3 linked regions of the Macaca fascicularis genome follow. The protein of the gene in region 1 binds, or shares a complex with, the protein of each later gene. Links are inferred from orthologs where the notes say so. Each region holds a gene or a part of one and is shown in the gene's direction. Other genes may lie near its edges.

Region 1 (3,746 bases):
GCCTGTTGCCTTTGTTGGGTCAGGTCTCCTGGGGCCCAGCATCTTTCCATGGTGGCCTGAAAGCCAACTGTGGCATGAGGGTGATGTGGATCAAAGAGCTTCTTCCACCGTCACACCCCTGTGTCTCTGGGTGGGCCTGTAGGGTAGCAGATGGTAGTCTGGGAAAAAACACTTCTTCCTTTCTGGGTAATTTGTATTCAGTCATTTAACTCCTCTCAGCTTCCATTTCCTTAAAATAGGCATTCTGTTGTATCTTCCCAGGGTGTTGGGAGGATCCAGTTGGATGCTCTGTGAAACTTCTTTGAAAACAGTAAAACAATATAAGAAGGAATCATGGGTTTGCTGTTACTCTTAGGAAGGGGCTGGGATCCCGGACAATCTGGAATGGGGTTTCAGATGTGGAAAAAATTACCATTCTGCTCCCCTGCCCCTGTTTGTATTAAATGAAACTGTTCATGAGAGCATCAGAATAAGGGGTTAATAGAATATAGAAAGAACTCCTACAACTCAACAATGCAAAAACAACCCAATTTAAAAATTGACAAGGAAGTTGAATGGACATTTCACCAAAGAAGATACAGAATGGCCAATGTGCACATGAAAACATACTCAATATCCACTGATCATTAGAGAAATGCAAATCAAAACTACAGTAAGATACTACCTCCCACCTATTAGAATGGCTATGATTTAAACACACACAGAAAATAACAGGCGTTGGCCAGGATGTGGAGAAATGAGAACATTTGTGCATTGCTGGTGGGAATATAAAATGGTAAGGCCCCTGTGAAAAACAGTGTGGCAGTTCATCACAGTTTAAACAGGGAGTTCCCGTCTGATCCAACAGCTCCACTCCTGGGTTTCTGTGCAAAAGAATTGAAAGCAGAGACCCTAAGAGATATGTTCATAGCAGCATTATTCACAATAGCCAGAAGGTAAAAACAACACAAATGGACATTGACAGATGAATAGACAAACAAAATGTGGTATCTGCGTACAACATTCAGCCTTCAAAAGAAAGGAAATTCTGACACATGCTGCATCATTAATGAACCTTGAAGGATATTATGCTAAGTGAAATGAGCCAGTTGCAAAAGGACAAATGCTGTATGATTCCACTTAGATGAGGTGCCTACAGATTCATAGAGACGGAAAGTAGAATGTGGGTTGCCAGGGCCTGGTGGGAGGAGGGAAGGGGGATAGGGTAGTCGAATTCATAGAGATGGAAAGTAGGATGTGGGTTGCCAGGGCCTGGAGGGAGAGGGAGGGGCAGTTGCTGTTCAACGGCTGCTGAGTTTTGGTTGGGGATGATGGGGTCATTCTGGAGATGGATGGTGATGATGGTTGTACAGCAATGTTAATGTACTTAATGCTACTCAACTGTACACTTAAAATGGCTAAAAGTAATATGTATATTTTGCCACAATTTAAAAAAAAATATTTAAAAATGGTTGAAGTGGTAGATCTTATGTACAAATGCTCCTCAGCTTCCCATGGGGTTATGTCTTAATAAACTGTAAAGTCAGATATACTGTAAGTCAAAAATGCATTGATTACACCTAATGTCCCTAACATTGCAGCTCAGCCTCGCCCACCTCAAACGTGCTCAGAACACTAACACTAGCCTACAGTTGTGCAAAACCATTTAACACAAAGCCTATTTTATAATGAAGTATTGAATATCTCATGTAATTTCTTTAATACTGTACTGAAAGAAACAATTCAAAGTGTGGCTTCTTCTGAATGTGTATCACTTTGCATCATCATAAAGTCGAAGTGTCGTAAATTGAACCATCGTAAGTCAGGGTCCATCTGTATATTTTACCACAATAAAAAAAAATCAAAGACAGCTTTTAAGGGGGATAGAAGCCTCAAACTGGCAGCCTGTGGCCCATTTAGAAGATTAGAGCAGCAATTCAGTCTTGTTGGCTTGGCGCCTAGGACTTTATGGGGTCCAGGGGCTTATAAGCACCCCCAAGCCTTTCTTAGGACCTTAGTACCAACTGGTGTAGCTACTACCTGTTCCTCTGGGATACTGCCCCAGGTGTCCAGTAGAACCCCCCAGGGGGTGGGGCCGGAGTCATGGCCCCAGCCTTAACAGTGGGGCATCTCTGCCCAGATAGTAATTTTCCATTCTAGTCCTGCCCTAGCATCTCAGCTGGGTTTGGACCTTCTTGCTTGGTTTGGGGGGAGCACAGCAGGTGTCCTGGGCCTATGCCAGTGGCAGCTGATCCACCCGCCCCAGAGAGCTGAACACCATGAGGAAATTTCCACAGCTTTCTCGCGCTCGCCCCCCGTCTTCTCAGGAGTGACTTATCCTCTGTTCTCTGTAGGTTTTCTTTTCCTCTGCCTGCAGCATTGCCGTGGATGCCACCCTGAGGAAGAAAGCTGAAAAGTTCCAAGCTCACCTGACCAAGAAGTTCCGGTGGGACTTTGCTGCAGAACCTGAGGACTGTGCCCCTGTGGTGGTGGAGCTCCCTGAGGGCACCGAGATGGGCTAACTCGGGCAGCGCTCTCAGCTGCGAGGGGCCCCTTGCCACAGGGCTGCAGTCCTGGCCTCTCCATTTACTTCTTCCTATCCTGGGACCTGTGAGGGCAGCAATCTCTCCAGATCCCACAAAGATGGAGCCAGAATTCCCTTTTTCACTGATAAATATGTTTCTTCATTGCCAAAGAGGCTGTACCCATCCTGAAGGCACATTTGTACGTTCCCCATCAGCTGGGCCTTGGTGCTAACCTGGCTGAATTTCACACAGGCTCTTACAGAAACTCCTAGGGGAGACCTGCCTACATGGCAACCAGATTCCCTCTGAGTGAGAAGGAATTGAACCAAAAGTCCTAGAAAGAACTGATTGCTTGTTCCATAGGAGCTTAGAAAACGAGAAACCCTGGATTGCCCAGGGGGTCTGAGAGGTCGGTTGGTGACTTTTTTTGCAGTTAAATGCAGGGTGATGGGGAAATGAGCCTGCCTCTTGCTGAATGGGAGCAGAGGACTTGGGCCTGCGGCTTCTTGGAAGCCCTTGATTGGGAAGAGAGTGTCAAGGGAGGCAGCTGGATTCAACCTGGCAGGTGGTCAGCTTCAGCTTTCTCCATCAAAATCCCATTCTCATGTCCAGAGGCCCAGTGGGTCATCTCCCAAGGTGGGTGTGGCCCCTGACCTCAGGGGCCTTGCTGGTGCTGTTACCTCCCACCTGCTCCATCCTGAGGCCTCACCCAGAAGTGGGACCCTCCCCTTCCTCACCAGAGCCACCGTCACTGTTTCTGATGACCTGGAGCGTCAACAACAACCAGAAAGGTTTCTGCCCAGGGCAGGCTTCTTAAGGCCCTTAGGAAGTTTTGTGCCTTCCAAGTGCTGAGGAAGACCTGGTCAGCCTAAATCTTCCCAGTCCTGCTGTGGAGCTGTCAGTCACTGGAATAATAAGCTCCTGGTTCCTTGGGAGTCCTGGGGGCACGCCTTTCGTGCTGTGTGGCAGGGTTCCTCTCTAGACAAGTACACAGGCCCTGCCACCCTGACATCAAACTGCTGTACTATGATCACAGTCCCTGTGCCATCCTTTTCCAAGGCTGGGGCTCACACCAGGTTTTTGAATGAGAATCCCTGCTGGTTAAGACTTTTGCTTCCACTTGTTTCCTTGGAGATGTTTTTCCAAGAGCATAATGTACATTAAAGTCTTCGAGTTGAGACAGAATCCCCTTGTGTGTGTGTCTCTTGCAGCTAATCCGCCTGATCTCCAGAGCAGCCAGGC
Region 2 (3,646 bases), on another chromosome or scaffold:
ACAGTCGCAGCTCACGGCAACACAGACTCGCACTGTCAACAAGCATGGCGATGAGATCATCACCTCCACCACCAGCAACTATGAGACCCAGACTTTCTCATCCAAGACTGAGTGGAGGGTCAGGTACTGTGAGGGGCAAGAGGGTGGGGATGGAAAGGCCGGCTGCACTACCTAAGGTGCTGGGCTGAGCGATGCTGACACTCCCTACACGTTTTTAGGGCCATCTCTGCTGCCAACCTGCACCTAAGGACCAATCACATCTATGTTTCATCTGACGACATCAAGGAGACTGGCTACACCTACATCCTTCCCAAGAATGTGCTTAAGAAGTTCATCTGCATATCTGACCTTCGGGCCCAAGTGAGTAAGTGGACTCAGGCCACAGTGTGTGCCCAACACATTTTGTGCCTAAAACACCGACCTGAGATTGTCTAGAACTTGAGATGCTGGTTTCAAGATTCATGGATGAGTAATTATGCAAGGATAGCCAAAACAACGAGGCGGGTTTTGGCCCCATGAGATAGCAAAAGCTGTGGCAGCTGAGAGAAGGTAGTAAATGTAGTATTAACCTGATAGTATTTGGAAGAGAATAGATATGGTCAGAAACAAATTCCTGACCAGATGTGCATGGTGGTTCACGCCTGTAATCCCAACACTAGGCTGGGCACAGTGGCTAATGCCTGTAATCCCAGCACTTTGGGAGGCCGAGGTGGTGGATCACCTGAGGTCAGGAGCTCAAGACCAGCCTGACCAATATGGTGAAACCCCGTCTCTACTAAAAATGCAAAAAATTAGCCAGGCATGGTGGCATGCGCCTGTAGTTGCAGCTACTAGGGAGGCTGAGACAGGAGAATTGCTTGAACCCAGGTGGGGGAGATTGCAGTGAGCCAAGATCGCGTCACTGCACTCCAGTCTAGGCAACAGAGGAAGACTCCATCTAAAAAAACAAAACAAAAAACCTTTGCCTGTAGTCCCATCTACTCAGGAGGCTGAGGTTGCTTGAACCAAAGCAGTGAGCTTTGATGACCACTGCACTCCAGGCGGGGCGCACTGGCTCATGACTAATCCCAGCATTGTGGGAGGCTGAAGTGGGCAGATCTTTTGAGCCCAGGAGTTCGAGACCAGCCTGGGCAACATGACGAAATGCTGTCTCTACAAAAAAATTAAGAAACTAGCTAGGCATGGTGGCCCACACCTGTAATCTCAGCTACTCAGGAGCCTGAGGTGGGAAGATCACCTGATCCTGGAGAGTGGTGAGTGTAGTGAGCTGAGATCATGTCACTGCATGCTAACCTGGGTGACAGAGTGATACCCTGCTTCAAAAAAGAAAAAAGATGCATAACTTTACTAGTGTATCAGGGATATTCATAGTTTATAAAAGATCATTTTGGGCCGAGGCCGGTGGATCACTTGAGGTCAGGAGTTCAAGACCAGCGTGGCCAACATGGCAGAACCCTGTCTCTATGAAATATATGAAAATTAGTGGGGCGTGGTGGCATGTGCCTGTAGTCCCAGCTACTCAGGAGGCTGACGCAGAATTGCTTGAACCCAGGAGGTGGAGGTTGTAGTGAGCTGAGATCACACCACTGCGCTCCAGCCTTGCCAACAGAGTGAGACTCCATCTCAAAAAAACCCACTATTGCCGGGCGCGGTGGCTCAAGCCTGTAATCCCAGCACTTTGGGAGGCCGAGACGGGTGGATCACGAGGTCAGGAGATCGAGACCATCCTGGCTAATACAGTGAAACCCCGTCTCTACTAAAAATACAAAAAATTAGCTGGGCGTGGTGGCGGCGCCTGTAGTCCCAGCTACTCGGGAGGCTGAGGCAGGAGAATGGCGGGAACCCGGGAGGTGGAGCTTGCAGTGAGCCGAGATCGCGCCACTGCACTCCAGCCTGGGCGACAGAGCGAGACTCCGCCTCAAAAAAAAAAAACCCACTATTAGTGGCTGTCAGGTTGGCAAATTTGAGAAGACTGTTAATATCCTGTGTGGGTGAGTTTATAGTAAACAGATCCTCTTACTTGGTGATAATGTAAAATTTAAAATAGCACCAAGTGCTGGATTTCCAGATGTTCTCAGTTTGTGAAAATACACTGAGCTGGAGGTTTGTATGCTCATTTGCTTATGAATGCTATCCTTAATAATCAGCTGGGGAGCTTGTGAGCAGTGCAGATTCCTGGACCCCACGCAGGAGGTCCTGATGTGGGAAGTCTGAAATGAGGTCCATGTTTAACATTTTGAACAAGCACCGCAGCTGATTCTGATACAGGGGTTCTGATCATGTTTTAAGAAACTGTCCTCGTTCTTGGGGGAAGGAAGGAAAACAGGGCTGGCAGCTCCACCTCTGAGCTGGTACTAAGAAGAGTTTTGGTTCCTGACCCCTTTGTCTCCAGATTGCAGGATACCTGTATGGGGTGAGCCCACCAGATAACCCCCAGGTGAAGGAGATACGCTGCATCGTGATGGTGCCACAGTGGGGCACTCACCAGACCGTGCACCTGCCTGGCCAGCTGCCCCAGCATGAGTACCTCAAGGTAATGGAAAGTGATGGAGCCTGGGAATGTGGAAAAGCTGGTGCGATTCCTGTCTGCAGATGGGATTCTGAAGAGCTCTGTACTCCTCTTTACCTATAGGAGATGGAACCCTTAGGTTGGATCCACACTCAGCCCAATGAGTCCCCGCAATTATCACCCCAGGATGTCACCACCCATGCCAAGATCATGGCTGACAACCCATCTTGGGATGGCGAGAAGACCATTATCATCACGTGCAGGTGGGCCTGGGCTCCTTGGGAGGAAGTATGGTGGGGCAGGGATTGCAGGCCAGGGCCCAGAATAGTGACCTGAGCTGTTACTCCGTCCTCGTCCCTCCCCCAGCTTCACACCAGGCTCCTGTACACTGACGGCCTACAAGCTGACCCCCAGCGGCTACGAATGGGGCCGCCAGAACACAGACAAGGGCAACAACCCCAAGGGCTACCTGCCTTCACACTATGAGAGGGTCCAGATGTTGCTGTCGGACCGCTTCCTTGGCTTCTTCATGGTCCCTGCCCAGTCCTCGTGGAACTACAACTTTATGGGTAAGTGGGAGGAGCCTGGGGACGTGGGGATAGCAGTAGTGATAAGGTGAGGCCATCGCCTGTCACACTTGGGGCCTGGCTGGCTTGGAGGTGGTGCCGGCTGCATGAGGCGGGAGCCCTGTTGACGCTGGCTGTTTCCTTCTCCCCGAAGGTGTTCGGCATGACCCCAACATGAAATACGAGCTGCAGCTGGCGAACCCCAAAGAGTTCTACCACGAGGTGCACAGGCCTTCCCACTTCCTCAACTTCGCCCTCCTGCAGGAGGGGGAGGTTTACTCTGCGGACCGGGAGGACCTCTATGCCTAGCTGTTTCCCTGCCTCCAGCTTCAGCCTCCTGAGGCCGGAGCCTCAGCCCCTCCAGACAGGCCGCTGACATTCAGCAGCTTGGCCTCTCCCTCTGTCTGTGCTTGTTGTGTTGTTGACCTCCTGATGGCTTGTCATCCTGAATAAAATATAATAATAAATTTTGTATAAATAGGAGTTCAGGGGCTGTTTGTTTTTTTTCCCCCCGAACCCAAATTCTGGATTTAGGTCTAACAGGAGAAGGAAACAGCCAAAGTTAACAGGG
Region 3 (3,746 bases), on another chromosome or scaffold:
ATGCAGGCTCCGAGTGTCCTCAAGAGCTAGAGGTTCCAGTACAGGGGCTGACCCCCCGCCACCTCCCCCAGTCCCGCTTCTGCTTGGGCCACATTCTGTTACCTGGGCACGAGTTGCTAGGCCCTGTTTGCTCAGAGGAGCTTCATGCTACAGAGAGGCACTGTTGCCCTTTTCCAGGCCGTGGTGCTAGGCCCTGTTTGCTCAGAGGGGCTTCATGCTACAGAGAGGCACTGTTGCCCTTTTCCAGGCCTATCTGAGAGCAGGGCACAGGGACTTCTGGCCTGGGTACTGGTGCCAATGCCACCTCTCCAGTGATGGCTCTCCCACCTCAGAAGCCAGGAACTCGCCCAGGGTATGGGCGTGGGACAAATGACTTCCCCTGGGTCCTAAAGGGAGCTGTGTCCAGAAAGTGCCCCGAGAGCCGTCCAGGGGCCCCGGGCTGGCCATCGGGAGAGCCAGGCTTCCCCTCGGGGAGGGCAAGGCTCCACCTCTCAGATAGGAGAGCTTACCACCGGACCACAGGAGTGGGAAGGCAGGATTTCTAACGAGACGGTAGGGGCGCTGAGCCCTCAGCCCTGGTGGAAGGGTGACTCGAACCCAGCACAGGAAAACGGGGCAGCGACCCACTGGCCCTGCTCGGACTTTGCCCCTCCATCCTGACCCTGGGCGACCCTTTAAGTAGATGCTCTCGTTTTTCTCCAGAGCCTCTACTGCTTGAATGAGGGAATCGAAGGTACTTCCGGCCATTTCTCACGCCCGGTCAGAGTGTAGGCATTCACAGGTCCCCTCTTCTCGCCATTGTCCTCCCACGCGACTGACGTCACTTCTTGCGGGAGAGAGGGTGGAGGCGTCTTCCCTCGCTCACCGCGTACTTCCGCCCGCTCTTCCAGTTAGTTCCCTAACCCGAGTGAAGCCACTTCCGGGCTTCCCAGGCGCCTTCCACAGTCCTCTTCCGGGTGATGGCGGCCGGGTGCCCCGGATGTAGCCTTGGCGCAAGCATCTCTTCTTTTCGCCACCTCGCCTCCCGCGGAGTCCCAGGTGAGCGCGCGAGGGTGGGACAGCCCGGATCCCCGTGGCCCTCTAATTTGTACACAGCCCGGGACAGTTGGGGCTCACCACACGGAATTGGGAGTTCGGAGCAGGGAGGAACGGGGTGGCGAGAGCGCCAGGTCCTGGGTCTGCCCGGGCCCCGCGAGCTCCGAGAGAGCCAGAGTAGGAGGCGGGGGTCAGCCGGTCGAGCCGGTGGCGCCCAGACTGCGGGGGCTGGAGTTGGGAGCGGTCACGTGGTGAAGTCTGTTCCCTGTTGGCCAGGGTCAGGGGATCCAGAGGGTCCGCTCCTCCGTCCCCACCCCATTTAACTCGCGGATGCTAGACCCAAGTCCTGCAGGCCTCCTGGCTGCCAGCTTCTCTTCAGCCCTTGCTTTTGTGCTCCCTCCGCTCCCAAACTGTACCTGTCACAGACCAGGAAAAATATTTGCTGTGCTGGGTCCTCTGGTGGCGAGTCCCCTCCTCACCCCATTCTCTTTCTCTGTATCCTTTCCTCAGCTTGAGAAACACCTCTCTGCCCCGTCATGCCAAAGAGGAAAGTGACCTTCCAAGGCGTGGGAGATGAGGAAGATGAGGATGAAATCAGTGTCCCCAAGAAGAAGGTGAGGGGGCCAGACTCCTTTGTGTGGGGGAAAGAGAGGAGCTAGAAGCCTGAGGAGAAAGAAAGCTGGCGGGAGTGGGGCGGGGCGGGCAGGCAGAGAAAAGCCTAGTTTTTTCAGGTTCTCTGAAGAATGGGTTGGGAGCATCTTCAGTGTGGGTCCTAAAATATTTGGGGAAGTAGTCGAGATCCTGAAATATTTGGGGAATATTTGGGTCCAGATCCGGAAGTATTTGGGGAGGTAGCCAGTAACCTGCATTTCTTGACTTGACTCCTGCTCACAGCTGGTGGACCCTGTGGCTGGGTCAGGGGGTCCTGGGAGCCGCTTCAAAGGCAAACACTCTTTGGATAGCGATGAGGAGGATGATGATGATGGGGGGTCCAGCAAATACGACATCCTGGCCTCAGAGGATGTAGAAGGTGAGCTGTACCCAAGAATACACTCTGCTGGAGAAACAAGTAGGGGCCTCTGGTGGTGTGGAGTGAGGGAGGCTCCAGTCTCTCTTTTCCATGCCTAGAAAAGGGCACCTGTGTCTTTGGTACAGGTCAGGAGGCAGCCACACTCCCCAGCGAGGGGGGTGTTCGGATCACACCCTTTAACCTGCAGGAGGAGATGGAGGAAGGACACTTTGATGCTGATGGCAACTACTTCCTGAACCGGGATGCTCAGATCCGAGACAGCTGGCTGGACAACATTGACTGGGTGAGGCCCAGGGGCTGGTGTGGCTGGGGCCGGGGAGTGGCGGATGCTAGGCCTGCTCCCATGGCAGTTCGTGGGAAATCACTGCATCTTTCCATGACAGGTGAAGATCCGGGAGCGGCCACCTGGCCAGCACCAGGCCTCAGACTCGGAGGAGGAAGACAGCTTGGGCCAGACCCCAATGAGTGCCCAAGCCCTCTTGGAGGGACTTTTGGAGCTTCTGTTGCCTAGAGAGACAGTGGCTGGGGCACTGAGGCGTCTAGGGGCCCGAGGAGGAGGCAAAGGGAGCAGCAAGGGGCCTGGGCGTCCCAGTTCCCCTCAGCGCCTGGACCGGCTCTCCGGGTTGGCCGACCAGATGGTGGCCCGGGGCAACCTTGGCGTGTACCAGGAAACAAGGGAACGGTTGGCTATGCGGCTGAAGGGTTTGGGGTGTCAGACCGTGGGACCCCACAATCCCACACCCCCACCCTCCCTGGACATGTTCGCTGAGGAAGTGGCAGAGGAGGAACTGGAGACCCCAACCCCTACCCAGAGAGGAGGTAAGCTTGGAGGACAGAGGAGGGGGCAGTGGGCGGGAAGTGAGACACCGGAGGTCAAATGGCTTTGCCTGTTATTTTAGAAGCAGAGTCGCCAGGAGATGGTCTGGTGGATGTGATGTGGGAATATAAGTGGGAGAACACGGGGGATGCCGAGCTGTATGGGCCCTTCACCAGCGCCCAGATGCAGGTGAGCTGCTTTCTCCCTCCTTCTGGCTTGTCCCTGCTTCCCCTACTCCTGTCAGTCCTTCCCCAGCTCTGCCCTCTCCTTGCAGACCTGGGTGAGTGAAGGCTACTTCCCGGACGGTGTTTATTGCCGGAAGCTGGACCCCCCTGGTGGTCAGTTCTACAACTCCAAACGCATTGACTTTGAGCTCTACACCTGAGCCTGCTGGGGGCCCAGTTTGGTGGGTCATTCTTTCCTGGACTTTGTGGAGAAGGCACCAAGTGTCTCAGGCAGTGAGGAAATTGGAGGCCATTTTTCAGTCAATTTCCCTTTCCCAATAAAAGCCTTTAGTTGTGTATTGGGGCCTTGGCTGTGCTGACGGCCAGAAGCCAGGGGCCTTCTCCACAGCCACTTTGGACTTGCCTTGGTCCCTGAGTGTTTGCTCCCATGAAGATCTTCTTTGGAGGTGCCTGTCAGGTGTCCTGTGGCCTCACTGCCTGGACTCTGCTTGCTGTGTAAACACCCCCAACTGCGCTACTTTGTGTTCCTCTCTGAGGTTTCTTGTTTGATTCCCCTTAGGTCTTTGGCTTTCAGGATGTCAGATTCTTTGTCCTTGTAGCCACCAGGGGATGGAGCCCCAGAAGTGGAGCTTTTAGGCCTGGAAGGACCGGGGCATGGAGAAGACATTGGGTCTCTGTT

What was found.
Region 2: AAR2 (region 1) and PRPF8 share a complex: the UniProt entries of both Homo sapiens proteins name them as parts of the U5 snRNP complex. The link is inferred for Macaca fascicularis from reciprocal best matches to the Homo sapiens genes AAR2 and PRPF8.
Region 3: AAR2 (region 1) and CD2BP2 share a complex: the UniProt entries of both Homo sapiens proteins name them as parts of the U5 snRNP complex. The link is inferred for Macaca fascicularis from reciprocal best matches to the Homo sapiens genes AAR2 and CD2BP2.

Annotation. Positions count from the first base shown.
Region 1 is NC_088384.1:92,339,041-92,342,786, forward strand, and holds the end of AAR2 (protein AAR2 homolog), read left to right. Parts: intron 1-2,333; coding exon 2,334-2,501; 3' UTR 2,502-3,689; downstream 3,690-3,746. UniProt on the Homo sapiens protein: Component of the U5 snRNP complex that is required for spliceosome assembly and for pre-mRNA splicing.
Region 2 is NC_088390.1:1,771,840-1,775,485, reverse strand, and holds the end of PRPF8 (pre-mRNA-processing-splicing factor 8), read left to right. Parts: coding exon 1-123; intron 124-218; coding exon 219-360; intron 361-2,392; coding exon 2,393-2,533; intron 2,534-2,632; coding exon 2,633-2,772; intron 2,773-2,875; coding exon 2,876-3,078; intron 3,079-3,229; coding exon 3,230-3,384; 3' UTR 3,385-3,558; downstream 3,559-3,646. UniProt on the Homo sapiens protein: Plays a role in pre-mRNA splicing as core component of precatalytic, catalytic and postcatalytic spliceosomal complexes, both of the predominant U2-type spliceosome and the minor U12-type spliceosome.
Region 3 is NC_088394.1:28,493,714-28,497,459, reverse strand, and holds the start of CD2BP2 (CD2 antigen cytoplasmic tail-binding protein 2), read left to right. Parts: upstream 1-968; 5' UTR 969-1,038; intron 1,039-1,545; 5' UTR 1,546-1,571; coding exon 1,572-1,649; intron 1,650-1,929; coding exon 1,930-2,065; intron 2,066-2,190; coding exon 2,191-2,348; intron 2,349-2,448; coding exon 2,449-2,884; intron 2,885-2,964; coding exon 2,965-3,071; intron 3,072-3,137; coding exon of another isoform or gene 3,138-3,156; coding exon 3,157-3,267; 3' UTR 3,268-3,746. UniProt on the Homo sapiens protein: Involved in pre-mRNA splicing as component of the U5 snRNP complex that is involved in spliceosome assembly.